4 linked regions of the Oreochromis niloticus genome follow. The protein of the gene in region 3 purifies or fractionates together with the protein of the main gene of each other region. This does not show direct contact. Links are inferred from orthologs where the notes say so. Each region holds a gene or a part of one and is shown on either strand. Other genes may lie near its edges. The genes, in order: rpp40, rpp38, pop4 and pop1.

The links.
Region 1: the proteins of pop4 (region 3) and rpp40 purify together in Homo sapiens (affinity purification with mass spectrometry; 3 studies listed by BioGRID and IntAct, counting the BioPlex papers as one, with this or other methods). This does not show direct contact. The link is inferred for Oreochromis niloticus from reciprocal best matches to the Homo sapiens genes POP4 and RPP40.
Region 2: the proteins of pop4 (region 3) and rpp38 purify together in Homo sapiens (affinity purification with mass spectrometry; 4 studies listed by BioGRID and IntAct, counting the BioPlex papers as one, with this or other methods). This does not show direct contact. The link is inferred for Oreochromis niloticus from reciprocal best matches to the Homo sapiens genes POP4 and RPP38.
Region 4: the proteins of pop4 (region 3) and pop1 purify together in Homo sapiens (affinity purification with mass spectrometry; 5 studies listed by BioGRID and IntAct, counting the BioPlex papers as one, with this or other methods). This does not show direct contact. The link is inferred for Oreochromis niloticus from reciprocal best matches to the Homo sapiens genes POP4 and POP1.

The regions. Positions count from the first base shown.
Region 1 is NC_031982.2:34,664,972-34,672,696, reverse strand, and holds the start of rpp40 (ribonuclease P protein subunit p40), read left to right. Parts: upstream 1-4,720; 5' UTR 4,721-4,860; coding exon 4,861-4,980; intron 4,981-7,725. Other genes in the region: riok1 (serine/threonine-protein kinase RIO1), read right to left, coding at 131-211, 324-436, 513-605, 772-814, 899-968, 1,280-1,382, 3,665-3,836, 4,439-4,491. UniProt on the Homo sapiens protein: Component of ribonuclease P, a ribonucleoprotein complex that generates mature tRNA molecules by cleaving their 5'-ends. Also a component of the MRP ribonuclease complex, which cleaves pre-rRNA sequences.
Region 2 is NC_031976.2:20,280,668-20,287,947, reverse strand, and holds rpp38 (ribonuclease P protein subunit p38), read left to right. Parts: upstream 1-4,279; 5' UTR 4,280-4,427; intron 4,428-4,984; exon of another isoform or gene 4,985-5,072; intron 5,073-5,149; 5' UTR 5,150-5,162; coding exon 5,163-5,969; 3' UTR 5,970-6,875; downstream 6,876-7,280. Other genes in the region: peroxisomal carnitine O-octanoyltransferase, read right to left, coding at 2,363-2,425, 2,521-2,638, 3,408-3,419. UniProt on the Homo sapiens protein: Component of ribonuclease P, a ribonucleoprotein complex that generates mature tRNA molecules by cleaving their 5'-ends. Also a component of the MRP ribonuclease complex, which cleaves pre-rRNA sequences.
Region 3 is NC_031965.2:39,311,497-39,318,958, forward strand, and holds the start of pop4 (ribonuclease P protein subunit p29), read left to right. Parts: upstream 1-4,413; 5' UTR 4,414-4,552; coding exon 4,553-4,559; intron 4,560-4,588; exon of another isoform or gene 4,589-5,531; intron 5,532-5,537; coding exon 5,538-5,593; intron 5,594-5,874; coding exon 5,875-6,098; intron 6,099-6,174; coding exon 6,175-6,252; intron 6,253-6,331; coding exon 6,332-6,393; intron 6,394-7,062; coding exon 7,063-7,164; intron 7,165-7,462. UniProt on the Homo sapiens protein: Component of ribonuclease P, a ribonucleoprotein complex that generates mature tRNA molecules by cleaving their 5'-ends.
Region 4 is NC_031976.2:6,409,806-6,417,394, reverse strand, and holds the start of pop1 (ribonucleases P/MRP protein subunit POP1), read left to right. Parts: upstream 1-4,544; 5' UTR 4,545-4,680; intron 4,681-4,876; 5' UTR 4,877-4,879; coding exon 4,880-5,006; intron 5,007-5,383; coding exon of another isoform or gene 5,384-5,386; exon of another isoform or gene 5,387-5,607; intron 5,608-7,015; coding exon 7,016-7,165; intron 7,166-7,304; coding exon 7,305-7,480; intron 7,481-7,589. Other genes in the region: 2-iminobutanoate/2-iminopropanoate deaminase, read right to left, coding at 38-97, 204-259, 2,202-2,270, 2,380-2,434, 2,851-2,956, 4,188-4,264, 5,384-5,386. UniProt on the Homo sapiens protein: Component of ribonuclease P, a ribonucleoprotein complex that generates mature tRNA molecules by cleaving their 5'-ends. Also a component of the MRP ribonuclease complex, which cleaves pre-rRNA sequences.

The sequences.
Region 1 (7,725 bases), on a different chromosome or scaffold from region 3:
AATCAGAGCGGGTCCATGTTATCAGTAAGAACATCTCTAATGGACTCTAACGCTCAACACAGGCTTTACTGGGTTCTACCAGTCAGAACCAGTTCTGTTTGGTTCTGGGTGTGGTTACAAAGGTTCTGACCTGATGAGGTTCCTCATCTCCTTCTCTGCCCATGTTCTCACCATCTTCCGGGGGTTTCCTTTACAGTACCCATGACGGAACCTGCAGAACAACAGGACAAACTGTTCCTGAAGGAGCCTCCTGCTGTACCTGGAGCCAACAGGAAGTGCTCGCGGTGTACCTGAGCGCTGTTCTTCTGTGGTGCCGGACTCACCTGAACTCCCCGCTGACGTACTTGTCGCGGTCTTTGAACAGCAGGATGGACGTCTTGTAGATCTTGATGGCTCTGCTGTCCCCAGCTGCTGTGCTGGCGTGATAAACGTTTGCCTGAGAGGGACGAGTATTGATCAGCGCATGTGTAACCATTCAGCGTATTGATCGAGCGATTACTGAATGGTCTGACCTCCTTCCCGGTGCTGATGCAGCCGTTGATCTCGGAGATAATTCCTCGACTCAGCATCTTAAAGAGAATCATTCGAGTTCGAGGGTCTAACACCTGAAGAAGAAGAAAGCATCAGCTGCTTATTGATCTTCACCTTATTATCTTTAACCTCCTGGCAGTTCTTTCCTAAAGAACTCAGTAAAAGTGGAAGCGTCACATCACAACAACAGTCGCCTTAAGGTGCTCTAGATTGTAGGCCAGAGCCGCTACAGGAACTCACCTGTTCTACTGTGGCTCGATCTGATTTGTCCTTCACTCTGTACCTGTGGAGAGAAGCCAATCAGGATGTGAGTCACAGCAGGAACACCCCGGCTGATGTCAGCATCATCAGCTGCTCTCAGACTCACGTGTCGGCTTCCCTCTGTTTCTGCATCGTCGTCACTTTATTAATCACCGAGTCTGCGTAGTTCAGTTTGTCTGCCAGAAAACAAAGACGATCAATCACTGCAATCGATTCCTGATCATAACTAAAAAGCCTACACCAACGTTGGACCAGAGACGCAGACTGGAGGATGCTTCAATGGCTCCAGACCTCCACAGCGGCTTATAGCAGGCCGTTGGGTGCAGGTGATCAATCAATATGATCAATATGATCAATACTGGCAATCAGCTGTAAGCAGACAGGTCGTTCTGAAAGGCGGATGAAACGTCACATCGATGTCGTTTAAGAGCTTCACGAAACTAAAAAGCTGTGTGTGTGTGTGTGTGTGTGTGTGTGTGTGGGGTACCCAGGTTGATCTTGTGTTCATATTTCCTCAAAGCTTTGTCAGATGGTGTTGATGATGGCAGCTTCTTGGACGGATTCTGTCTGTTGGACTGCAGACGGAGACTCTGTGCACAAAAATGACTCAGTTTATAACGTCTCTCTCTCACACACACACTCTTCGGCATCAAGCTAGCACTACAGAAGAGGAGCAATGCTGTCAGCTCATTTCTATTAGCTGACACTTATCAGCTCAACAAACATCAGCAAACACAAACTGTGCAGTTTGTCTCAGTGTGTTGCAGCTAAAGGTTCAGCTGCTGTATTTGACAGAGAGAAAGACAGAGAGCTAAGTTCACTCAGAGATGGAGACAGATAAGAAGGAAGGACAGGAGAGGAAGAAGACAGCTTAGAGTTAAAGGAAGGACGCTCATTTAAAGCTCACATGGAAGTCCTCATGGTTTTAAATCTGTCACATTGTGTTTGTTCATAAACCTGCTGCTAATCAAACTGAGGCAGACTGACTGTGTTATTTAAAGGCTGCATGAGAATCCTCTGCAGGATGAACAGGTGAGTTTGCTGCACTGTGATTGGTTTACAGTAGAGTCTGTGACTGCTGCACAGTGGCTGTGGGTTCATGCTCACAGTTAGCTTACAGCAAGTGTATGGAGGGCCAGGAGTACCAAAAACAATTAAATAGCCCATTAAATAATTAATTGAATGTTTAAGTAATGAATTAAAATGGAAAGAAATATGACTCAAGAATATGAGTTTTACATCTGCTCACATCTGGATGAATCCAGGTGTGTACATCCACAGAGAGCAGCAGGTCAGCTGATCACAGCCTGCACACTAAGAAACTCTACTGGAGCTCTCAGTGGAAATGACTGAGTCTTTTCCCCACACTCAGACATTACAGCTGATTTAAAGGTTCCTCCACCTGCTGAATCCACGTTAACCTCTGACTGTACACGTTCCTGTTTGGAGACAAAGTCACCTTCTACAATGGAGGCAACAGGAAATAGAGACTTGTTTTTATTTCTATGCTTTTTATTCTGATTCAAGCTGAGAACAATTAGAATAAACAAAGATAGACTAAAGTTTGTATTCCCATCTATCTATCATTTTATAATTATGTTAATGTAGCACAAGGTTCAGTTAGCTTTCCACAGAAATAGTCCTCCAAAGAACTACTCATCTCCTCCGTTAGCCCTTCTGTTACCTCCTCTGTTAGTCTCTGTGTTACCTCCTCTGTTATCTCCTCTGTTAGCTCCTCTGTTAGCCCCCCTGTTATCTCCTCTGTTAGCCCCCCTGTTATCTCCTCTGTTAGCTCCTCTGTTAGCCCCCCTGTTATCTCCTCTGTTAGCCCCCCTGTTAGTCCCTCTGTTACCTCCTCTGTTAGCCCCCCTGTTATCTCCTCTGTTAGCCCCCCTGTTGGCTCCTCTGTTACCTCCTCTGTTAGCCCCTCGGTTAGCTCCTCTGTTAGTCCCTCTGTAAGCTCCTCTGTTAGTCCCTCTGTAAGCTCCTCTGTTAGTCCCTCTGTAAGCTCCTCTGTTAGTCCCTCTGTAAGCTCCTCTGTTAGTCCCTCTGTAAGCTCCTCTGTTAGTCCCTCTGTTAGCTCCTCTGTTAGTCCCTCTGTTATCTCCTCTGTTAGCCCCTCTGTTGGCTCCTCTGTTACCTCCTCTGTTAGCCCCTCGGTTAGCTCCTCTGTTAGTCCCTCTGTAAGCTCCTCTGTTAGTCCCTCTGTAAGCTCCTCTGTTAGTCCCTCTGTAAGCTCCTCTGTTAGTCCCTCTGTTATCTCCTCTGTTAGCCCTCTGTTGGCTCCTCTGTTACCTCCTCTGTTAGCCCCTCGGTTAGCTCCTCTGTTAGTCCCTCTGTTAGCTCCTCTGTTAGTCCCTCTGTTAGCTCCTCTGTTAGTCCCTCTGTTATCTCCTCTGTTAGCCCCTCTGTTGGCTCCTCTGTTACCTCCTCTGTTAGCCCCTCGGTTAGCTCCTCTGTTAGTCCCTCTGTAAACTCCTCTGTTAGTCCCTCTGTAAGCTCCTCTGTTAGTCCCTCTGTAAGCTCCTCTGTTAGTCCCTCTGTTATCTCCTCTGTTAGCCCCTCTGTTGGCTCCTCTGTTACCTCCTCTGTTAGCCCCTCGGTTAGCTCCTCTGTTAGTCCCTCTGTTAGCTCCTCTGTTAGTCCCTCTGTTAGCTCCTCTGTTAGTCCCTCTGTAAGCTCCTCTGTTAGTCCCTCTGTTAGCTCCTCTGTTAGTCCCTCTGTAAGCTCCTCTGTTAGTCCCTCTGTAAGCTCCTCTGTTAGTCCCTCTGTTAGCTCCTCTGTTGCATAATCAGGTGTTCAACACATACATCATCCATCCTTCCATCTTTTAGACCTGGAAGACTCTGTTGGTTCTTTGACCTCTACTCACTTCCTGTCTCACCTGCAAGCCACCCGCTGCCTGGTTGTATCTTTTGGCCAGATCTGCTGCTGAGCTCCAGGCCCACTCATCCTCATCATCCACATCCTCCTCCTCACTGAAATCCTGCTGCTCTGATGAAGGCAGTGCATCACTGATGCGAGTCAGCTCCACTGACCTGACACTGCAGAACAAAAAAACAAAAGAACAAACAACAAAAACACAGTCAGAGCTGCTGAAATCTCTGTGAAAGTTACTCATACAGCAAACAAGATGTAATGATAAGGGAGGAGGCAGCCCTGGTGCCCCGATGGTCAGGAGGGCAGAGGCCTGAGCTGTGAACTGGTCCCCTCTGTGGAGCTATCAGAGCTCCTCTGTGGGTTAAAGTCGTGGTTCTGTTCTTGTGGCCTGAAGCCTGCTGATTGTATTTATGTAGTAAATATGATGAGCTGAATTTTACCTGACCTGAAACAAGAAGCCCTGATGGCGAGAGGCTGGTTTGTGTATGGGACTGAAACACCGACAGCACGGCCATGGAGACTTACACTGAGAGTGTGTGTGTGTGTGTGTGTAAGGTGACGTCAGTAAACATGACAGAAAAGCTCACACATGAAAGCATCAGCTGCTGCTTCACAGCACAGAAACCCAGGTTACACCTGAGGTTACCTGGACAAGACTGAATCCTGCTATGGAGTGCAGGCCTTAGGTGACCTGTTACCATGGTGATTTAGCCAGGTACAGCCTCACTGTTTACACCGCAGCATCAAAACAAACGAACGAACTCACCTGTCCTCCTCCGCGTCATCAAACTGCCCAGGTACACACGCCGGCTCCGCCATGACGTCAAAGCCTCTCACACAGGTAAACACAGGTAAGCGCTGAACCTTCGAGACCGATTGTGCTGCGCCGCTCCTCGTGTTTGCTCCACTTCCGGGTTCGACCACGTGACTACGGAGAGCGGCGCGGGTCGGAGGATGACGTCACATCACATCCACCGATCCGTCTCTCTCTCTCTCTCTCTCTCTCTCTCTCTCTCTCACACACACACACACACACACACACACACACACACACAAACGCCCCATTCACCCAACAGCCGGAATATCCTCCAAAATAAAAACAACGAACACTTCCGGTTCGCTACCGGGAGCTTTTAAACTGAAAAGCCGCGGCCGGAAACACGTGTAGTTAGCTCGCAGCCGAAGAAGATGACGTCCTCGGAGCTGGACCGGACTCCGCGGACTCTGTTGGTGTCGGAGAGCTCCAGCTTCTTGGACCCGAAGAACCGGATCAGCGCGCAGGTGCAGCAGTTGCACTTCAACCACCAGGTGACGCTCTCACCCTTCACCTCTGACCTTTCACCTCCGAGCCGTTAGCTTCACAGCGTCGGGCTCACGGACGGCTTCATGTAAATTTAAAGTCGTGTTTGATCGAGTGCAAGGAGAGCAGTCACGAGTGGAGCAGTGCTGAGTATGCGGGTGGAGCAGCAGGGCTCAGTGTGCGAGTGGTTCTGTGGATGACCGTTCAGAGCATTGAGGTGGAAGGATTGCGTGTTCAGAGGTGAGTCAGCAGTCGCCCCCACAGAGCGGCTTTACCAGAGACTAACTTCAGGATTTGGGAGTGGAGAGTATGGATCTGCAGTCCTGACCTCAACCCCACCCAGCACCCGTGGGAGCTGCTCTGAGAGGTCAAACCTCTCAAATCTTTCACATCTCAGAACACCGCCGTCACTCCTAAAACTTCCCCCCGTTTCTTAACAACTAGATGCCACGTTGCCATATCATTTTTTTGATTGGTCGACACGGTACTTTTTTCGACTAATAGGAAAGGGTGGGGGGTTTTTTGGTTTTGTTTTTGCTCACAGGCTGAGAGTGCTTTCGAGCGTTTTCCTTATAAAACGCCGTTTTTACCGTTTCTTCCGGCAGTAAATATAAACAACGATAGTATTCAGGAAGAAAACCAAACATTGCAGATATTTTTATCATAACTCTGGTTTTACGTGGCCGATCAACACAATTTAAAAACTGGTATAAAGTCCACACTTTGTCCGTCAATTGTTCCGTCTGTCCTGCTCACATCCATAGCTGGACTGGCCATCGGGCATACCTATGGGCTCAAAATGTGGTCATAAATATTTTGTACTTGTAAATCAGTTTTGTATGTGTAAAAAGAATTTGTGCGTGCGTAAAAAAGATTTGTGCGTGTGTAAAAAAAGATTTGTATGTGTAAAAAAGATTTGTGTGTGTAAAAAGAATTTGTGTGTGGACTTAGCCAAAAACCCCCCTGCAAGTTACAAGTACGAATTTTGACCCTATTTTTCTTCCTGTCATCTGATTGGTCAATGTCATGTCAATCACAAATGTAACAATCCAATCAGAGAACAGATGGGTTTGGCTGTCGGAGGGGCACTTTTTTGAACTGCAGGTCCTTGAAGGGAATAAATGCCCTTTTACATGCCAACCCAGCGTTTTCCTTCATCACCACAAAGGAAAACAGTCTGTGGTCATCCGAGTTTGGTGATTTTTGTGTCACAGGTCTACGTGCTTTATACAGGGACTTCCACAGCCTTTTCAACAGCGCTGCGGACCGGGGGGGCAGTGTTTTGGAAATGACAGTCTTCATTACAAAGCTTTCTTCGTTATGAATTAGCATACATGTTTTTATTGAACATTTGAAGAACTAGCAAAAAAACCAAACTCTTGTAGAGGACATAAAGTCAGAGACAGAAACGACAAGGAGCAGGTGCATCTAGTACAGGTAGAGCTGCTGCAAAAACCCACAGAGCTCAGCAGCCAGCGCAACAAATTCTGGATCCTTTGCTTTTAGTTAGCAGTTAGCATTAGCAGCACATCCTGCGTCCGATGTGAAAGGACCTTTATGCTGCGCACTGTGACTCACAGCAATGGTCCCGGGTCAGCCCTGACTTTGTGTTAAACTAATCCTAAAGTAATAATGGTATTTCTAACCACTGACATACCACAACTTTATCCTTTCAACAGCTGCTGAAAGTTAGGGGACCTAGCTGCTATCGGATATTTATATAGAGATCCTCCAGCTTCAAACTGTATTACCCTTCAAGGACCTGCAGTTCAAAAAAGTGCCCCTCCGACAGCCAAACCCATCTGTTCTCTGATTGGATTGTTACATTTGTGATTGACATGACATTGACCAATCAGATGACAGGAAGAAAAATAGGGTCAAAATTCGTACTTGTAACTTGCAGGGGGGTTTTTGGCTAAGTCCACACACAAATCTTTTTTACACATACAAATCTTTTTTACGCACGCACAAATTCTTTTTACACATACAAATCTTTTTTACACACAAACAAATCTTTTTTGCACATACAAATCTTTTTTACGCACGCACAAATTCTTTTTACACATACAAAACTGATTTACAAGTACAAAATATTTATGACCACATTTTGAGCCCATACATACCGGGCATTTTCCCGGTGGGCCGCTCGTGATTTTTCGTTTTTATGGGCCGATGGGGTTTTATTTCTTTTATTTTTTCAACGGTATAAATGAATAGTGGTGTATTGGCCAGTTGGTCATGATCGACTCTGGGCTGGACCAATTACAGCCGAGGAGGTCGAACTTTAAAGTTGAGGTGAAAAGCAACGCGATTTGTCCCGATCAGCTGATCAATGATCAATGATCAGCTGATCGGCTTTTCTCTCTGCGTCAGAAAGAGCAAACCAGCGGAGGTCGCGTTAAACAACAGAAGCACCTTTAAACTTGATGAGCTGTTGTTAGAATTTATTTAATATTAATTTCTAGTATCAGCTGATGTTTGCTGGAGGGATGAAGGGTTGAAGGGAAGTTATGAACTGTTTCTGGGAGACAAATAACACCAGGATCCTTTTCTAGCTGACAGCTGGTAACTGTGCAGGGGCGGGTCTAGCAAAGTTTTGCCAGGGGGCCAGGTAGGGCATTAACAGGGAAAGGGGGGCACAAAAAATACGTTTCTTTCTTATTCTCATTTGAAATTTCTAGCTTTTAACAAATAATTATCTGAGTCATACAACCAAAGTTTTCATCTGATGTCAAATGTATAGAAATCCATTA
Region 2 (7,280 bases), on a different chromosome or scaffold from region 3:
AAAAGGTTTAATCTTCAAAACGTGTTTGTTCGCATTTGCCAACATTTAAATTGTCCTGTTTTGATTCAAGCTACAAATCTAAGTCCAGTATGCAGTACATATAGAAAGATTAATATGTTAAAGACTGCATAGATATCATTAAAATGCATAAATCATTTGAGCTATGTAATTTAAAAAATCAGGATAGAAAGACATTTTTTTAAAAATCACATTATTGTGCAGAATTATTGCCTCTGGAAGCAAAGCTGCTCTTTTAAGTAAAGAGCAGCTTTGATTTAGTAGTTTGAATTAGTAGTCTGTTTTCATCGCTGCTGCCTCTTCAGTTCATGGACGTCTCACACCCCGTACTTGCTGATGACTTCTTTAGCCTTTGCGATGTAGGCCGACATGGCGTCCTCCTTGGACATTCCTGAAAGAGTTCAAATTACGAGTGATTTGGACTTAAATAATAATGTCTTAAAGGAGTTTTCTCCTATTAGTATACATGCTTAGAGAGCCTTTCACCCATAGCACTGAAAAGCTGGTTAAACTATGGGAGAAATTCTCATGATGAAGATGCTTAGAAAAGATCAGGTCTTTTTATTGGTAATAAATCTAAAAAAAAAAAAAAAGTATTTCCCCTGGCAGCACAGAACGCTTCCTTTAATGAGCTCAACAGGTTCCGATAAATCACCACCATGGAAGCTGGCATCTGGGTTGTGTTTTTGTTATGGTAACGTGGGCGATAGTAGCTCAAGAGTTGGCAGTTCGTCTTGTAATCGGAAGGTTGCCGGTTTGAGCCCCGGCTCGTACAGTCTCGGTCGTTGTGTCCTTGGGCAAGACACTTCACCCACTGCCTACTGGTGGTAGTCAGAGGGCCCGGTGGCGCCAGTGTCCAGCAGCCTCGCCTCTGTCAGTGCGCCCCAGGGCAGCTGTAGCTACAATTTAGCTTGCCATCACCAGTGTGTGAATGACTGAATGTAGTGTAAAGCGCTTTGGGGTCCTTAGGGATTAAGTAAAGCGCTATACAAATACAGGTCATTTACCATTTAAGTAAAGATATAAAACTTTAAAACACTGGATTTTTAAAAATCTGTATGTATATTTGTGCAGTGTTTTTGGGATCATTGTTGCCAGATTAGGTCACAGATTAGTTTTTTGGGGAATGACGTTGTTGGTGTAAAAATATGAAATTATTCCTGTCAAACTGTGTTATCTTTGGCCTTTTTCATAGCTTCAGCAAAAGACATGTGAACAAATGATGTGTTTGTGCAACAGGCTGCTAGTAACAAAGGGCCTAAAGATAACGATTAAAAATGGTACTTTGATCAGTTGTCTGTTATGTGTAGACGAAGCTCTCGTTCATTAGCTCGAGTTAGGTTACTATTTATTCCTTGAATGATTCAGTGTTAAATGGCTTAACAAATAAAACAGTTCCTCTGAAAATAGTCAGGTACAAGGACTGGACTGAAAATTAGCTAAAGGAGCAAACAATGTCCAAAGGCAAACTTTGAAAGACCTTCAGAAAGCCCGGAGAGCTATTGCTCAAGATCATTTACATTGTCTGAGTCATTGGAAGCAAAATACAAAGAAATGAGTGGTGCTCAACACCACCCTTTGACTCTTTGCACAAGTGTGATGTCACTAAAAATGAACCTATTACAACAAAATCTGCGTGTAGTCACCTTTTTCTCAAGTACTCAACACTAAACACAGACTTGCAGAAACAGCTCGTGTGCAGCTGAATCATGGAGTTGACCTGCAAATGCCTTAACTCAACATTTTTTGAGGGTAATTTTACTTTAAAAAATAAATTTAAAAAAATCAATGAATATGCGAGTAAAATTAAAAAGTTCCTGTGATGTTGGATGAAACTAAGTGGTGAAAATATTTGGATATTTTGACAATGACTAACTTCTAATTTCCTAAAAGTTACCTCCTGTGAGTCTTATTTGACACTGAACACACCTAATTTGGAGCAGATTCCTCCATGTTCGGAGTTGAGCTCATGCTCCACAAACATGTTTTACGAAATTCATTCTCATGATTTACACCTGTGGACTCAGCAGGTTTTGAGTACTAAATAGGCTACTCTGCAGGCAACCAGGAGGTGGAGCCCCACCAGTCTGCATGCATCCTTGCATCCAGTGAAGTGTAAATGTGTGTGTGTGGCTCGTAGTGTAAAAGAACCAGTTCTTTTACCTTATTTAGTACAGAAAAATACCAAAAACTGTTCCAGCTGTGAACTTGGGAAAAAATATCTGTCTCATATATCCTTGTATGATCTATAACCTGCTAATAAATCACTTTTCCAGCACCTTCAGTTAAAGTGTTTAGTTCTCATGGACAAATTTAACAATCACAAGCTTTCCTAACTCGTTACCTTTCCTCGACTCCCAGGCGTCCCACTTGGCCTTTCCTTTTAGGTCCAGCATTCCCGGTCTCTCTACAGTTGTGAAAGCACACAGAGAGGAGGAGAAAAAATCTGAACTTAGTGAACTCTTTATGGGAGTGATTCAGTTTCTCTGTAGCGGGTCCTACCAGTGTTAATGTCTCCAACAACCGCCTGTTTATAAAGGGCATACAGGAACAGCAGCTCCTCGTCTGTGGGCTTGGCCTTCACCTTCTTCACATCATCTGCTGCCTTGTCAAATTCTGCCTGCAGGTGACATGAACACTCTTTATGTTTACGATTAAATTTTCAGAAAACATAAGCAGTGTGTCTGTGATGGGAAAACACTGGACTGGAGGATTTCTTCTCTTTGCAATAAAGTCCAGCAGGAATGTAAAGTAATTACATCGAATACGAGAGTGTGCATATTAATGAGTTACAAGCACTGAATAAGAAATGTGAGTGTGGTATTCTAGGCACGGGGCAGTCCTGGGAAACTGATTGTTGCACAAGCTGGAGATAAACAATGGGCTTTTATATGAGACCAGAGCCTGTGTGCCTACTCAAATAATCTGCTTTTCAAAGGATCTGGGACACAGCAGAACTGATAATTATAGACCACAGGAACCATTTTTTATATGCACAAACACCTAAAAACCTTTTAACTCTTTACTGAGGTGACGCTGAAATATATAATGATCCAGCTCTGAATGCTGACGATTGGTCAAAAAGCGGATGTTTGTATATAGATCCAGTTTACCTCCACATGTTCTCATTTCTCACAGAGACAAACTCTAAATCTAGTGAATTTTCATCGGGAAATCTCTAAATTCTAAGAGCAGCATCAGGACCACTGAGCCGAGAGCATTAACGCGTTTAGGCACGACTTTCCTTCATCCACCCTTCACACGCCGTCAAAGATGGATGACTGCATACGGCCAGAAGACGGCATGCGCTGTTCGGTTCATCGCGACAATGTAGCATCTAATAAATAATAATAACAATAATAAAAGAGCAAAGAAACGCAGGATTTTACCTGGAGGGTCATCTTGGTAAAGGTAAAGGCTGGGAGCGCAGATGAATGTCCTGCCCTGAAGGGTTTTAAGCAGCAGTAATTGCAGCACAGCTGATCGATGCACTATTGAGAGTAAAGCAGAGGCTTGTAGGGGAGGGAGCAGACAGCTGCAGAGGTGCTGATTGGCTGCCTGTCACCCTCACTCACAGCGACACACACACGCACACGGACTTTAATAAAATGGGGAGATATAGTGGACTATGGCACCTAGTCCACTGACTACTGAGACTTTATGACGTGTCATTTGCAACAGTGTAATAAATTTAGGGAGATATAATCATATCAGTTCAGCAGGATTAATACAACCTCTACCACAATATGCTTCCTACACAGAACTCCGTGCAATAATATTATTTTAAAAATCTGCCCAAAATGCTGACTAATTTCATTACATATAAATTTTTGTATTATTATTATTAGATTTGATTTTTTGTTACACAAGTACAGTGTGAAGTGTTACCATTAATGGAGTCTGCTCAAATGAAATTTACTTGGTTCGTGCACATTCAGTTTATACGAAACACATTTCCCTTAACGATAAAGTATTTGAATAAATAAACCTTTGATTTTATATGTTTCATTTTTATTCATATTATTGCTTGGTGTTTATTGATCACCTTTGAGGGTATTTAAACTAATTGATTAATTGATTGAGAAAGGCCTCCTTTATATTTCCTGTGCTCGTGCACTTTTACTCCAGCTGATTCATGAAGGAGACTTCATGCACTTTTCCCTACATCAGACTCTACAGTGTCAGATAACAGTGTTCGCCGCCTCTTTAACTCCACTTTCACTGCCTTCGCTGACTCTTTGATGATTTGACTGTCATGTCGCCCTTTCACCGCTGTTCGGCGCTGTGGAGCTTTTTAAATAAAGTTATTTAAATTGAAACAAAATGGCAGCGCCCTGTGTGTCTCTCATGCAGCTGGGCTGAAGCTGTAAAGAAGACGAGGAGAAATGCGTTATCTGCTTTAACCACAGGTAACGGCGGCTGTGTTTGTTTTTAATGCTTCTGCAGAAGCGAAAGGTTTTTTATTAGAGCCGAAGAAGATCTGAAATTTAACGACATTTCCATGTGGGTTAAAGAAATGCGAAATAAAAACGTTGCTAATCGTATTAGTTTATAATGGCGTTGTTTGTTTGTTTAGTCTGATTTTTGGATACAAATTTTTAACAAATGTGATCTTGTTTTTCTCTATTTTATCCACTCATCTTAAAATGTCCTTTATTCCTCTTAGTCGTGTTTACTCTTTTCTGCTTTTACTTTTTTACCTTTTAAACAAACAAGGAAATAAAAAAAGATTCTGGTATGCGTTTTTTATATGTGAATAAGCTGTTTAACTCATCTTTGGCATTTCTGTGCTTTAATTTAACATCAGCAATGATTTACATTTACTGGCCAGTTCATTAGGTACATCTTCCTTGTGCTGGGTTGGACTCCCATTTGCCTTAAGAACTGCTTTTTTTTTCTTCATGAAAGATTCTTGGGGGATCAACATGTGATACGTGTTGACGATGTGAATCTCCTGTTCCACCAGATCACAAAGGTGCTCTATCTGATTGAGATCTGGTGATTGTGGAGGTTAGGTACAGTGAACTCATCTGATTGCCTTCACTACCAGTCAGGTGAACGGTGTACTTAATAAAGTGTCCAGTGATTGTATGCCAGACTCTAAAGCAGTTTTTCCTCTCTTTTCTTACAGTGTCGGTTGTTTTATGCTTCAAACAGTCATGGCAGCTCCCGGAAAGCCGACTAAAAAGGAAATCAAAAAGCAGACTCCAGCCAAGACCTCCTTCACCTCACCCTTTGCCTCAAAATGGAGCCCGCTCCCCCAAGAGGACATGCACTTCATCCTGAAAACTCTTAAGGACAAGTTGATCTCCATGGGTCTGGAAAAAAAAGAAGTGAAAGGGTTTCGCATATGGAGGAAAAAGAAAGGCAAAAAACCTGATGTCGCACCGGAACCTGTTCCCCAGGAGAGCGATTCCTCCAAAAACGGCTGGACAGATGTGGCAGCCAGACGGCAGCTGGCCATCGGCATCAACGAGGTGACCAAGGCTCTGGAGAGAAACGAACTCAGACTGCTGCTCGTGTGCAAGTCTGTCAAACCGAAACACATGACCAATCACCTGATCGCTCTGAGCGCCACCAGAGGAGTGCCGGCCTGCCAGGTGCCTCGCCTGAGCCAGAGCGTGTCGGAGCCGCTGGGGCTGAAAAGCGTGCTCGCCCTGGGGTTCAGACGGTGCTCCTCCAGTGACAATGGGGTGTTTACCGACACTGTCGATGCCATTAAGCCCAGAGTGCCTTCACTGGACATGGCATGGCTGCAAGGTGCTAAACCTGAAGAACCTGTTGCCATGGAGGAGGAGGAAGGTGGTGAAAGAAGGGGACAAAAAAGGAAACTGGAAAGTGAATATGAGGGGGTGTCAGAGTCTCCCTCCTCCTGCACTCTGCAGCCGCTCCAGGTGAAGAGAATCGTTGCTAACCCTGCAAAGAAGAAGAAAGGGAAGCCGAAGAAATAGCTGTAAAGTGAAAGAGAAACTTTAAGGACTGTTTGTTTAGCTCAGGAGTTTCCAGTGTTGTTTATTTTTGGGTTTTTGAACAGTGCTTGCAGCCTCAGTCTGGACATAACTTATGTGATTAGTTTATATAAAGAATTTCTGGAAGCTTAAAGAGAAAAAAAGGTTTTTGGGAACAAGGTTTAGACTTTTCTGCCAAGTATTTTTATCTGGGGAAGCCTCAGACCTTCAGGTTTGCATTCATTGTTTCAGCAGATTAGTAGCATTGCATATGGTTTCATGCATATTCATACAATTGAATATGATCTGACTGAAGTTTGAATTTCATTTTGTCCACAATTAAAGCCGGTCTGCACACATTGTTTTTTATAAAGGCAATTAAGTTTTTCCCGGTATTTTGATAGTGCTGTTTGTTTTAAATGGAGCTTGTAATATTTTACCCTCGAATGAAATATATTTCCTCTATATAATACAGAGGACTGCCATTAGACCACCAACATCTTGGAGCTGTTGTGCTGGATTGCTCAGGTACTAAGTAGAAAGTAGTAGTCTATTTATGTTGAAATGTAAGCAGAATTTTAGACCTCAGGTAGGCACAAATGAACCAACTTAATGATCATTTTCCAATTTTAATTTGCTGTAAATATCTATAGATGGACAAAGGTACTGGGAGATTACATCACTTGGTTGAATTGGGAATGTCTTGATCCCCTCCTGGGAGAGGGAGGTCTGAGTTCCTCTGCTTAGACTGCTGGTCCCGTGACCCGGATAAGCAGAAGATCGATGGCTGGAAGGGAAAGATTAAGATCAATAGAAAGATCCTTTATTAATCCTTTGCAGGAAATGACATTGCCTCTGCAGACACAGACATAACACCACACATCCCAAACAAAATATCAGCTCCATTACTTATTTCTGATAAAGTTAGTATGAATAAATAAAACTATCAATAACTAACATGGACTAACTACATGGATCTCTTCTCAAGTTTTTAGAGTCGCAGGAGAGCTGAACCTTATTCCAGCAGACATAGGGTGAGAGGCAGGGTATAGCAGCATGTCGCAGAGCTGAAACAGTGACAGTCATTTATACCTATGAGCAATTTAGAATCCCCAGTTAACCTAACCCCCACTAACTGCATGTCTTTGGACTGTGGGAGAAACCCGAGCACGCAGAGAGTACCCTGTGTTCTTGATAAAGAATTCCGAGTATCCATCTATCCATTCTCTTCTGCTTATCCTGTGTGAGGAAGCCAAAGTACCTGGAAGGAACACAGAAAAGATCCCAGCCTGATGGTGGAATTGAACTGAGGAC
Region 3 (7,462 bases):
TCTGTCCTCGTGTACCTGCACCGTCAGATCCTCGGTTAGAGGATTTTTTATCTGATCGAGGATCTCTGAGGATTCTGGGACTTTTTCTGATTTTACTGCATTTCTAGCTTCCTCTGAACCGTCTTTGACTTTTTCTGTGTAAAAAAAGTTTTATTTCAGTAAGCCTGCTCACGGCTCAGTTAGAGGCTCTGGGATAAAATGGCGATTACTGAGAAACGTGCTGAAGCGTCTGTCCTCCGTCTCTCTGCTCAGGCTGCCATCATTTTACTCTACGACGTCATGATCGTCAACAACTGGCAGGCCTTCATCGACGCCTACAGCAGATACACCACAGAGTAAGAAACCGCACGGTTTAAGCTCAGCGGCTTGATTATGGTGGTTACTGCGAGGATGATGATGATGATGATGATGATGATGATGATTTGCTTCCCAGGTGGTCCAAGATCTACTTCGTGTGTTGGTGGCTCATCTCGTCGGTCATGTGGGTCAACTTGTTCGTGGCGCTCATCTTAGAGGTGAGAGACTCGCTCGATCGATGCAGGACAAGGTTTGAACTTCATCTTCATCAGAAAGAGGCGAGCTGGAGACAAAAGGACGCAACCTGAACCGGCGGCAGGAAGTGAGAGAGGGGCAGCTGAAAGTCTCAGGGGCGACTCGGCGTTCTTCTTAATCAGAAAGAGTTTTTAGGACATCCTGATAATAACGACATTGAAGTATATGAGCAGGAACCTGCGGCGTTCCCGACTGTGACACTTCTGTAAGAAAGCAAAACCTTCTCAGAAATGTCGGACATCCTCGCTTTTTCAGGTTGCTCAGATTACACGGCAGCAGGAATGTTAATATTCCTGTTTCGGAGTTCGGGAGAAACACGCCTGCAGGAGGTGTCGTAGTTTGTTTTAAACGAGCTTCTCCTCCTGGTGACGATCAGATTGATTCTTTCTAAATGTCTGAGGGCAGGTGTCCCCCTGTAATCTGCACCCACGCCGTGCACCGTGCACCGTGCACAGGCCGCTTTGTTGTGTCTTGTAAACATTTGTTTGGGTTTTTCCAGTTTTTTGCTTTGAGGGTCTGACGTGTGTCTTTCTGTCCTAACAGAACTTCATCTACAAGTGGGACCGCAGTCACAGCTGCTCTGTGATCGATGTGGAGAGGATCAGATATGAAACCTCGGTTCAGCTCATATTCAGGTGGGAATTTATTATTTATTGAATCTCAGTGCTATACTTGACAAACCTGAGTCCACGCTCACTGCCTGCCCGTGGGTCCCGTGTCTCTGCAGGGAGCAGGTCCAGGAGCCCACAGAGGAGGAGTTGGTGTGCCAGCTGCACCAGCATCCACACTTACAGCTGCAGTGGTGACGGCGGCGCATGCCGCAGCGCGGGCAGGGCGAGGCTCTTCTGCTAGTTCATTTTTAAGTTCCTGTAAAATATTAAATGCATAATGTCTGCTGAGTCCAGCGGGAATCACACTTCTGAGTATTTCCAAGTAAAACCCGGGCAGTGGAGTCCAGTCCTGTTCTGAGAAACACCTGGGTTCATTTAAATCAAACTGTGAAATCAGAAAAAGCTGCGGCCGCATTTAAAAGCTGCCAAAACAAACTGAAGTGTGAGCAGCTGCAGCTTTTAATTGGCCGACCAGAGCGCCGCTGAGCAGAGCTGAAACCACAAATCCAACGGCAGCGCGAGTCCTGTACATCAGATTTGCTCTGCAGACAAACAGCCAATCAAATCCAAGAACACCGTCTCATCAAACCGGCGCTGTAGCCTCCAGGAGACGGGTCTCCGTTCACTGCAGACTGAAACCATCTCACAGAGTCGCGTTACGCAGCACACACCAGCCTGACCGGCACACATTCACTCTGAGATTTACCTCAGACTGTTTGGTGTGAAATCCTCGCAGACGCTCGTAGGCTCAGGTCAGAAAGGTCACGTCAGGGAAACACAAAGGTTTAAAAAACGCACATTTGCTCTGCAGCGCTGTTCATTCATTGAGTTCAGGGCGGAGCCAGAGGCTGACACCTTTCACATGTAAGGATGATGAGATGTTAAAGTAAATCCATCACAGATCACTGCGGTTTCACAAAAACACGTCTTTTTACTCTTTCTGAGCCAAACATAAGACGGAGACATGTCTCCATCACTGCGAGACGCCGAGCAGACGGTAATGACTTCTGGGCTGATCTCTGCTGTGACTCCAGCCTTGTCTTCAGTGTGATGGAACTCGCTCAGTGGAAGCGGAGAAATAGTGCCAACACCCACGTTGCTGAGGAAGCGTGAACCTGTCCACGATGACAGGAAGCCATGTCCCCACGTGTGGACAGAAACATCAGTGCTCGGGTTTTTTCTTACATCTGTCAAACTGGATAAACAGCACTGCAGGCTGCGGGGAACACGTTTATTTAAAATCCTCTTAATCTGCAGATAGAGACACGAGCTGCAGGGACCGGCTCGTCCCGCAGGTCCGTGTTTCCTGACTTTCTTATAGATGCATGTGTCGTCTGTGGACACTCGCAGCCTGAGCTGCTGAAGCTTTCCTCACTTCCTGCTCTGACCTGGTCATCAGCAGCGACAAACACATCAGAGGAAAATGTTGCAGATCGGCTGGAGCTGAGTCGCCGCTGGGCGTCTGCCGCTCGGGTTCATCGAGACGTTTAACATAGAAACGCTGCCGTGTGCACAGGAAGGACATCACTGATGGTTTCTGATGCCCGAGCTGCAGCTGCAGCGTCGTTCTTTAGAGGTTTCCGCTTCATTCGACTTCATTCGGTTTCCCCTCATGTGAAGGACAAACTGTCCAGAAACCAGGAAACGCCTGAAAGCAGTGACCTGTTGGAGACTTTGTTTCGTCTGTCAGGAAATAAAAAACGTTTTTTTCTTGGAATGACACCAGATCTGATCTCTGCTGTGTTTCTGGCCCGAGGCCGAGCGTAGCAGAGCTTTCCATGAAACCTGATGTCAGACTTCCTGCTGATGGTCAGTAGGACACACGCAGCACGCCGAGGAACACACGGACATGCCTGTTCATGCTTTCTGCTGTATGTGGCGTTCAGGGCGTGCTGAGGCTTTAGACGAGCGTGTTCTGAGAGTTTAGTGGTGCAGGGCTGCTACCTCCAAGGGTAAAAAGGGAAAAACTCACTTTTTGTATGAATGTCCCAAAATCAGATTTAAAATAAATATTTTTCTGAAACTCAAAGACGTCTCTCGTGTCTCCGTTCACTCCATCAGCTCGCTGTAGTGTGCACTCTCTCCTAATGAAGTCCAGCTCAATATTTTTATGTCTTCTGAATCTTATGACACTTATAATAATAAGAATAATAAGAATAAGAATAATAATGGATTGCATTTATATAGCGCTTTTCGAGACCCTCAAAGCGCTTTACAATTACACTATTCATTCACTCTCACATTCACACACTGGTGGAGGCAGCTACAGTTGTAGCCACAGACTGACAGAAGCGAGGCTGCCATATCACGCCATTGTCCAGAGGGGCCGATGGCGATTACTTATTCAGTAATAATAATTATTATTGTAATGATCTAATGATGCTCTGTGTCTTTTCTGCATCAGTTTCTGGTGGAAGCATCTGAACACAGTCAGGATCTACCTGCAGCTTTCCCAACTCTAAACATCCCCTCCACCCTCTCTGTGAGAGTAAACTGGGACAAAGAGCCTCTGCTGCACAGTTTTGTCTTTATTAAATCTGTTTGCGTATGAACGATGAGGGCTTCAGTCCGCACAGAGACTGAAGAACAAATGTGCGGAAGCGAGCCGGCCTCAGGTCTCACAGCAGGAGGCAAACCAGAAGTGTCCCTCAGACGGGTGTCTGTAAAAAAGAAGGACAACAAGTACCCACGGGAGGGTACGGAGGCAGCACAGCCCTCGCTTTGAGCTGTTGTAGATGAAACTGTCTGCAAACACTTTTCTAACACAAAGGGAAACTGTTCATACTCACTGCAGTGTGACTGCAATCACCTTCAAGTGTTTTAGTGCAATAAATCAGTGTTTGAGCCTGCTGGCTCTCCCGGAAGCTCCCAAACATCTGCTCCAAACTCAACAGCTGCCAGCTCCACAAAGATCTGCTGCAGGTTTCTGTGGAAGTGTCACAGCAAAGATTAAGACTGTCACAGCAGAAAAACGGAGATCAGTCAACGAGAAGGACGAACGTAGCTTTAAAAAAACAGTAATAAGTATAAGAAACAGGAAAAGCAGCTGATGCAGAGGTAAAACAGAGACTGTGACAGTGACGTCATATTTTCACAATAACGAGTGAGATGATAAAAAACAGGAAATATTTAAGTTTCTGGTCCAATAAAAAAGCGACTGATGAAAGTTTAATAGATAAAATAAATAAAACTGCGATAACCGGAGAAAATGTCGGAGAACTTTTCCTGTTGAGCTGCAGGGGACGCTGTGCGCGCGCCAGCGGCCGCTTCATCCTCTAAAAACGTGACGAAGAAGAGCGACGCGGAAGTGACCCGGGCAGTGCTGAAAGCACGCGTGTCGTGGAGTTTCTCCGTGGATCGTCAGAGGAGTTCTGCTCAGGTCTGCGAGCATGGAGGGTGAGTGAGCTGAGCGCGTGAGCACACACCTGAACACGGACTCGGTGGGAGGAGGGGCTTTCCTCCGGTCCGAGCTTCGATTCTGTCCGGTCGGTTGCGTCTCCGGGGGGGGGGCGTGTTTGGCCCTGTACCCTCACACAGGTGTGTTACCTGAGGAGAGGCTCGCATGTAGTCGATTATTAATGTGACGTCATCACCTTTGTGTAGCACGTGTAGATCTGTAACAACATCCACAATTTCCTCCTTAATGCAGCTGTGCTGACAACAGAAGCCCCGCCCCCTCTCCTCACATTTACGGGATCAAAACAAAACTCTTGTTTTTCTCTAATGAAGCTAAAACTGCTCCACCCAGACTCCAGCTGTGATCAGCGGGGTAGGTGGAGGTCAGGAGGGTCTCCTCCACCTGTGTGTGGAGCTGAGGAGGGTCTGTGTGTTCCTCCCTGGTGTCATCCATCATCCACTCGTCAGCCTCCAGGTGTGACAGGTGTGATTACATCACAGGCTAAACTTAGACTGTCACAGCGAAATTGGACTAAACCTGTTTTAGGTAACTGCAGGGAAGGTCATTAGAGAACAGCTGAGCTCCACCTTCACAGGAAAGTGCGTGTTTAAAAGGTAAAGGAACGTTTCCTGAATGTCTCCACCTGTGGATTCATTCAGGTCACAGGTCACCTGTCCAAACTGAGAACACAATAAAAATAAAATCCCACGGCATCGTGAGAAAGTGGGCGGGTTAGACGCTTGAGCAGCGGTGCGGTGAGGTGAGGTGAGGTGAGGGGGGGGCATCCATCACATCTCAGCGGGCAAGTTCTGCCAAACTGACGCTGAAGCTTCATCTTTTTATTTTAGTCAAACATTTTTATATGCGTCCCCCCCTTTGGACGTGTGTGTCCCCCCGCCCTTGAGGCGTGTCCTCTGTCGTTCCCGCCCCTCTGTGTGCTTCAGCGCCTCAGTGACGTGTCTGTGTCCTCTCCACAGAAGGTCTGGTTCGAGCCGCTATTCCTCGTGAGCTGGTGGACGTTCTTGGTGTTGAGGTAAGCCGACGCTCGGGTGTTTTCCACTGATGTGAAAGTGTTTCATCCGCACTTTGTGCCGTCTGAAGAGAGCGAGGAGATTTTGCAGCTTTGTAGCTCCGCCCTCAGGATTTAATGGGACAGCCAGTAACCATCCTTTACATAAAAGTCAGCAAACTGCAAAAGTCCTTCCTGTTTTGTGCTGAGCGATGACTTCACTCTGCTGGCTCTGCCCAACACGCTGTTTGGCTCATGACTCTTTAATAATCACCTGAATTCACTTCTTCAAATATTGTTTTCAGCCTCAGAGCAGCTTCAAAGCGAAGGCCTTCACCGAGGCGTTCCTGAAGAACAGCATTCAGCAGCCCAGACGCCATGACCTGCAGAACATGCTGAGCCACAAAGCCGTGATCCTCGGCTACGGCCGGCCCAAGAAGGAGCGGAGGAAGAGCGCCAAGGCCCGAGGGCTGAACGCGCGGCAGAAGAGGGAGCTGAAGGTCTTCCAGATCAATCCTGAACACCAGAGGTTGGTGAGAAACCCTCCACCTGTTCCTCCACCTGCTCCTCCTCCTGCATCACTGTCTTTGTCTTCCTCACTGCAGATACGAGCTTTTCCTTCCTCTGCATGAACTCTGGAGACAGTACATCATCGACCTGTGCGGGGGATTGAAAGCAACGAGGTAAATCGCCGCCCTCAACAGCTGCTTGTCCAGATGTTTGTCTGCCTCTCACTAAGTCGTCATCCGGATGTTTTCACAGCAATCCACAGGTCGTGCAGCAGAAGCTCCTGAAGGCGGATTTCCACGGAGCCATCCTCACAGGTCTTCTTCTTCTTCTTCTTCTTCTTCTTCTTCCTCCATTTGTAGCAGAAAACTCAGGAATGTAAAAAGTCAGTGTTCCAGGCGTCCTGTGCCATTCCCAGTCAGCTTTGTCTTTTTCCTTCTGGTTTTGGTCTGAAATGAAGTTTGTGGTTAAGACGACTTTTGGCCTCGTTCATGTCAGTAAGTCTGCTCCTCTCCAAGCGCCATGACTCCCAGAGGTGCTGACCTTTGGAGCCTCGAGAGGACGTAAGAGCAGCTGCAGGTTTTAGTGCTGCCCTCCTCTGAAAGTGGTCTTTAAACTCACTGCTTTCCTGAGGACACGGGTCTTCTCAGGAACATTGTTGTTCTCAATGTTCATCTGCATGAACGGCATGAACAGCAGTTCTGTGAGCACGCTGTGGTACCTGAAGCTCCTGGTTTCCTTCTTTTCAGTCGGGCTGTTTGGAGAGTAAAGAACGAGTCAGTTTTGATGCTTAGCATGAAATCATCAAGTTCAAATTGATTTAGTAATTACTCGCTGCAGCAGCATGTTTGAGCTGCTTATTGCAAGCCTCTTTGCAGCCCACCTCCACCCCAGCCCCTGGTTTTCCTGCTGCTGCAGAGACTGAAACCTGCTAACACGCGTGCAGGCTCGTGCAACATGACAGTCTGTTCTTGTCCCCGCTGCAGTGGTGCGGTCCAAGTGTCCGTCTTATGTGGGGACGTCTGGGATTCTGGTGCAAGAGTTCAAACACGTCTTCAAGATCATCACCAGAGACGACAAACTGAAAGGTTAGGAGCGTGTGAGTCTCTCCGTGTGTTGGGCTCCGGTTTGTATGAATGTGAGTCAGTAACACACAGCCAGCTGCTGTGGAAGCTCACAGAGGGAGATTTAAGCTGCGTGTCATCTATAAATATTATGGATATTAAATATTTCTTTGATATGAAATAAATATTTGGTTAAATGGTCTCTAATTAGCATAAACAGATAAATGTGGCCTGGAAGAAGATGTGTTATGGCTGAAGACAGGAAGTGAATTGCGTGTGCCGTAATGAATCTGCTTCATCAGATTTAAACGTGGTTTCCTCC
Region 4 (7,589 bases), on a different chromosome or scaffold from region 3:
TTAGCTCTTTCTAGTTTTTGCTTGTTTAATGTACTTGTTAGGAAGTGCCGGTCAGAGGGCCCAAAACAGCAATTGCTTCAATTTCAACCAGTCCACCCTGGAGAAAGAGACAGCATCAGCACAGTGAGAATTGTGGTTTTCAGTTGGGTTCAAAGCACAAAAGAATAACTGGATAAAAAAAACGGTCTTTGTCAAGTACTCACTCGAGGGAGAGCAGCGACCTGATAGGCAGCCCTGGCTGGGAAGTTGGTGCTAAAGACTAAAGAAAGCAGCTGAGTTAGGCCACCAACACATTTACACATACAGACTTTCAATGACTCAGACACACATATAGAATCTACAGAAGCTTACAGGACTGCAAAGCAGCCAATTAACTACTGGTACCTGGCATTTATAGTGTTGCCCTTGTCTGACATGCCTTTATATCAACTGATAAAACAAGCAAGCTCTTTATAGTGACTGTCAGAGTAGGAGAAACACAGGTGTGCGAGTACACAAACTAGGGCTCTACTTCATCATCAGTCAGCTTGAACAAGCAGTTATTAGTCTCATTAGTTCCACTTTTGGATTTACATAGACCTGCACTGAATCAACAAGAGAACATTTATCTTTTAATGTGACAATTTTAATCTGCACAGCAATTTAACTCTGTTCACACATATTAGACACAATTTACATCAAATATATAAAATTCAGTGTATGATTATCATACAGTTTCACACAAATTTCATCAGTACAAAACACCACATTATTAGATGCACAATGGGAAATGTATTACAATGAAAAGCCGCAGCAATAATTAATACACATTAATGAGTCACTACAGACTGCACTTGATTGTGCTGGGCACTGCGCTACAAAGTTATCTCTGGTTATCTCTCTATTATCTGGATTCACTGAACCTAACACTTGTGATCACAAAGGTGGTTATCCACTCACTGAGTTAACCAATGGTTTCCTGATTGAGGTATGAGCGCATTCACACAAAAGTAAGAAATTAACAATAAAAAGTAAAAAATAAAGACTAAATACAAACTCCATCTGTACAATTTATATATTAATGCTTAAAGAACAAAATTGTAACATGTTTGTAGCCAAAAGGTTAAATTAAAAAAAATATCTGTATTTATTACTGATGCTATTAAAGACTTTAGACACTCCTATTCTCGGTGCACAGAGGTTTGAGGGATCTTCAAGTAATGGTGACGCTATTTTCTGGAGACTTGACTGGTCAGTAGGTGGTGATTTCATACCTGTTGACCTCTAATATGGAAGCACAAGTTACCATGGCGATGTACCCTGGTAAGAAGTGAACCACACTTGTAGTACAGAAAACTCGGGGTTAACCCCAAAGCTACCTGGATATGATGAGTTCCTGTTTTGTAGTACAGGCCTCGGCTCAGGCAGCAGAATTTATGCCTTTGTTGTTCTTGTCGGTTCATGTAACCGCAGCATAGCTGCACCCAACTTCAACCATAGCAAAAGCCTAATCAGCCAGAATAAAGTGAAAACACCTGTGAGGGGCCTTTAAAGACAGAGGTGGACTGAAAGAATAATCTGATTTTGACTGTACTGATGTAATCACTGATAATGGACTCAACGCAGAGTGCATCAACCTGGGTGCTTGGATCAGTTAATTGTAGGAGCAATACCTGAATTAACTGGCATTAGAAAAATGTGTAGTTATCTTTTCTACCATACTACTTAAACAATGAAATGGATATGGGGGCTTTGTGAATAGACTTAAAGTTTTTTATTTAATCTATGGAATGTCAGATGTGGCAGTCTGTCGTCTGACATTTAGATTAAGATTAAGATCTGTTGGTGGGGAAAGCTCAGGTTTCACTCTGCTAAGTGACTCAGCAAATGTCAGCGTTCCCTGTGAGTGTTTGGACTCTGCCCCTGTGTTTCTGAATATTTATTTCATAATTCAACTTGCTCTGGAGTTTCCACAGCATATTTAGAATATGAAGAGGCAAATTCAAGCACCGGTTGATTTATTGTAAAGGCCTTCTGGGTGAATACATTACTGGAAAAATAAAGAGTCTATAAAATCTGCTTGTTATGCAGCAGCGCTGTATGTCGTCTGGACTGTGCTGACACCTGGTGGCTAACGTTGTATTGCAAAATGAAGGCCAACAGCAGCAGATAACTCCAAACACATACTGATACACATTAATAACTAAATCATTGATACTCACATTGTTTGTACACGTCATTGACACTGGTGAAGTCGTTCATATCGGCTAAGAGCACTGTGGTTTTGACAACTTCAGGAAATAACAAGAAAAGAAAGAAAATAGTGCATGATCAGGTCTGTGGTTGAAAAGTTGAAAGAATTCTTCTGTGCACATGCAAAGAAAGGCAAGGCTCTCTCACCATTGGTGTAACCACACCCAGCAGCCCTGAGTATTTCACCCATATTCACCAGAGCCTGAAGAAACAGAAGTCATGTACATGATTGTGCAAAAGTAATTCTCACTTTGTGATGACTTTCATATCCTCATTCATCCTGCAGGAAGGATGCATTTGACCAGTCTTAAATTTATTCTGCAGCATTACAGAGAATTAAGGAATTGGCCCCCTGCAGGAAAACTGGTGGGTTTTTTCAAAAGGCACTATTTTTAAAAGCATTGTCACTAGATTTTCTTTTAAATAATGGACTGCATGTATTCACACTGTAGCAGTCTCTTAATTGTTTGGTTGTGAGCTCAACTCCATTGCAATTATCTCAGCAGTTAGGAATTAGGAACATCTACTGATGTCTGGATCGCTTTCAAGTGTCGCTGTACTCCATGTTTATGAATGAATGAAGGAATGAATCAGTGATGATGGGGATTCCAGTGTCACCTGTCTGGTTTGAGCCTGAACACCACCTTCCACCAGCTGTCCACTGGCAGGGTCCATTCCCAGCTGTCCTGAAATATACATGGTTCGATCCACCACCACTGCTTGGCTGGAAAACACACACAAACACGCACGGACAAAGGCTTAGCTACTCTGGGTTTATTTCGTTCAGAGTGTTAAATCTTATTGTCCTTTCTGGTGATCTTTGCTAAATAAAGATTTACTAATAATGAAGGAAGTGAGGTTAAAAAAGTTGTATGTTTGCTTGACTATTCCGTCACTTATCTCTCCATGTGTAGGTTTTTAACTGAGGGTTATTGTTTTTTTTTCAAATATTTCTTTTAAATAAGAGATTCACAAAATTGCATTTATGTCCCTTTCTGTCTTTTAATAATAAATACACAGTTTCTTTTCTCGATAAGGGGAACACTCTCTTTATACCTGTGAGGAGTCTTGAAGTCATTTTTCTGTGCCCCTATTAAACATATATGTGGGACTGCTTACCTGCATTTGTACAAGAACTCTAAAATTAGAAACATCTTGTCTCAGAGTGATGCTGAAAAACTAATTCATGCATTTATTTCTTCTAGGCGGGACTATTGTAACTCATTATTATCAGGATGTCCTAAAAACTACCTAAAAAGCCTTCAGTTGATCATAGTATCAAAGTACCATATCACCCCAGTAAAGCACTACTGGTATAACTGTTTCCTACGATATTTCAAAGCAGAATGGGAAGCAGAGGTTTCAGCTTCCAGGCCCTTCTTCTGTGGAACCAGCTCTCTATGCAGATGTGAGTGACAGAAACCCTCTGTGCTTTTAGGATTAGGCTTAAACTTCAGTTAGAGCTGGATCAGGAGGGTCGTCTGATTGTTGGGGTCTTCACTGTATTATTTTAGGCTCTTTACCAAACAATATAAAAAAAAACTCGAGGCGACTGGTGTCGTGACTTGACGTCATATAAATAAAATTGAATTAAATTAAATTAATTGCAGACTAAAGTATTGAAAAACCGCGGGCACAGTTTGCTGTTTATCTTCATTGTTTAACATTTTAGTGGTGTGTGTAGAGTTTAAAGTGCAACATCCAAAAGTCTGAACTTTGCTCCCAAAAGCTCTGAGGGCATATGCTATCCCACCTCTCCCAGCAGTAATCTTATGGACGAAACAGTGAACTCAGTATCGCTGTATTACCCGATTAAGCAAAAAAGTCGTGGTCTGTCATCAGTGAATTGGCAGTCAGTGCTATTAACAGTGCAAATGTAATGTAGGTTGGTGCTGCGGCAGGTGTGTGCCAGCTGTAACTTTAACCTTAGGGCAATGATTCAAAGCTCTTCTCACCTGTACGGACCGATAGCAGCAGGAGCTTTAGCTGTGCTGATAATCCTCCTGATTAGTGCAGCCATTTCACTGGAAATCTATCGGCCCAAGTGAAAAAAGTAAGTTGTACAACAGAAGGCTGCAAGCAGAAAACGCGCTGATGTCAGAAGGACGTCAGAGCTACTTTACCGTAAAAGACATATTACATGCGCAAACACGTTTCCCTTTACACATTTTAGTTCCAAAACTGGTCACCTCAGACATTTTACAACTCAAGCAAGAGACAATAGTGACAACATATCATATAATCTTAAGAAAACGTACCTTGGTTTTTATTGGATTTTTTTTGTTGACGCGCTAATACTCTACAAAGCCCCCTGAACACGTCATATCCGGAAGCAAACAAGACCAGCACCAGCATGAGGAAACCTCACATGGTAGCTAAACGTAAAACTAGAGGGTCCCTGCGGCTGGAACAGCGTTTCTGACACACATCACGCTGGGGAACCTTGAGGTAACCTTATGAAGTGTAATTCCTCTGGACGTTTGGTATAGAAATGTTTTAGCTTTGGTTTTGTTAGTTAAAACAACTCCCCAACTTTACGCCAGGTAACGTTGCTAGCAAGCTGGCGTTTTAGCTCAGCATTCAACTGTTTGGGTTATAAGCTGCTCGCATAGCGAGGTCTCAAGCGTGTTATTGTATCTTACAGAAAATGTCTGCGGCTAAAGTCAAAATGCGGGAGAAGAAGATGAGAAATCAGCCCGCCAGTGTGCAGTATCCATCTTCTTCATCTAACGTGGAGAGCAGCACACAGAATGGAGCAGACGCCCCTGGCACCGGTACTCAGCCTTCTCTGGTTATTTCACGTACCTATTACATATTAAACTGGAAGAAGGACCAGCGAGTCCCCTACAGTAATGCAGAACAAAGCGCACATATGTTTTTCTTCCAGTCTTCCACGCATGAAATGGATTCTTGTATAAAAAGTTACTGCCAAAATGGTTAAACCGGCAGATAATATAAACCACATAAGCAGAATAAAGCCAAGGTGAACTGAACAGATTTGCTCTCCTTGGACTGTATCATACATACTTGAAAGATAAGGTCATACATGACTGTATCTGATATAGCTATACATTAAATATCAAACACAACCGAACATTCTTCCTATTTAAGTATATGGATATATGTCATATCTCATATTTCTGCTACTTGCCATGCAGTGCGTCCAGAAAGTATTCACAGTGTGTCACTTGTTCCACGTGTTGTCATGGAAGACTCACAAAAACATGTTAGTTGTACCTTATTCCAAAATGGACTAAATTCTACATGAAAGATCTGATAATGACAAAGTGAAGAAGCTTGCCTGAAATTCTTGCAAATTTACTAAAGACAAAGGTATAACTTGTAGATGAGTATTCACGGCCTTTGCCATGACGCACAGATTCAAGCGCAAGTGGATCCTGTTTTAACTGATCGACTGTTTTCATAGCTGATTGGAGCCCACCTGTGGTAAATTCACCACTCATCACCTGGCCAGTACCATCCCGACAGTGGAGCATGGTGTTGGCAGCATCATGCTGAGGGATGTTTGTACATGTGCAGCAGCGTACAGAGACATCCTTTATGCTAACCTGCTCCAGAGCGCTCTGAGCCTCAGACTGGGTTGAAGGTTCATCTTCCAACGGCACAACAACCCTAAGCACACATCCAAGATAACAAACATAACTGATGATCCCCATCCAGCCTGATGGAGCTTGGGGGTCTGCAAAAAAGAATAAGAGAAACTGCCCAAAAATAGGTGTGCAGAGCTCATACCCAAAAAGACTTGAGGCTGTAATTGCAGCCAAAGGTGTTTCAACAAAGTCCTGAGCAAAGGCTCTCAGTCATCCAGATCATCGTAGTCTAAGGAGCCTGGAAAGAAAAGCGTCTGGACTTCTTTAAGTTTCTTGAAGATGTTTCATCCGAGAAGCTTTTTCAGTTCTAGGGTCAAATGGTGGAGAGTCCCAGATTTTAAGCCCTATGGGAGTGTCCCCCAAGAGGGTCATGGACCCCCTATTAATCCTTTACGTAATCACATGAGCCAAGGTGTGAAAACGGGTGTGGGTCAGAATCAGCCAAGGTTCGGGTGAACCCACTGTGAAACCTAGCCCCACCCTGTCATGTGACTTACTGAGGTCAGATGGCCAAGGATGTGAGTGGGCATTAAGGTGTCTGGGAAGGGATCTCAAAACTGGATTATAGATGGCAGACAGTTGGTGTCGTAAGGCACCGCCTCTGTTCAAAGAACATCTAGAGGGCATTCCAGGCATCTAGAGGACCCCCCTGTCCATGGTCACACTTAATTTGGGACAAATCGGAGCATTTATTGTGAAATAACCTGAGTTCAGGTCTAGCAGCACCTGTTGAACTTAGCTTTTTCCAACTGACATTAATAATTTTATGCAAGAATTTATTTCATGTGTAAGAGACCTTAGAGAAAACGATAATTGTTGCTTTGTTTTGTTGCACTTCTGGTAGGTGTATCTCAAAGTTTTGTGAGTCTTTCCTCTAGACTGTCTGTCACTTGGTTCTTATGATTTTTTTTTTTTTTTTTTTTTAAACCCTCCAAATTTTTTTCTTTCTAGTTCCTCATCTTCCTCTGTCATGTGCTGTTCATACAGTGAATATAGGGAACATATTTTTTCCAAGGGAGGAATCCCTTCTCATTAAGGTTGTTTCTATGATGAGATTCATGTGAAAAAGGAATAAACAAGCGGACAAAGATGTTATATGCCTTATTAAGTTGGGCGAGTTTACTCACATTTGTAGAGGCAGACCACACATGACTCACTCTCACTTTTGACAGGAGAAAATGCTGATCCTCTCAAAGGTGGTCTTTCGGAGGTGCACCCCTCTACAGAAAGGAAGAAGAAAACTCCCCACCAGAGCGGATGGGTCCGTGGACATCATAAAGATGGTGGTGGCTACACCAAGGAGATGCCCAAATACATCACTGGTAAAATCTCAACATTTTTAACATATTAAGTTTAATTCAGAGCATAGACAGTCATGAAAGAAATGAATTGTAAAGGTATTCATGAACAGTTACAGTCCAGTGAATGACTTCCATTTCCATCTTTACCTTCCTCACTCAGCTGGAGCTTTTGCAAGGGCCAGGGCTGCAGAGGTGAGCGCCATGTTGAAAGCTGTCAGAAAGACCACAAGCAGCAGCCATGTGTTTGAAGCTCTGCCCAAACACATGAGGAGACGAGCCATGAGCCACAACACCAAGCGGCTTCCTCACAGACTGAGAGAGGTGGCCAACAGAATGGTAAATTTCTGGACGTATTTTATTTTTAGCACTTTGTCTCACAAACACCTCCGTACCCTTGTTTTATATACAAAGTCCCCCACTCTGAGTACCTGGGACATGTCCACTC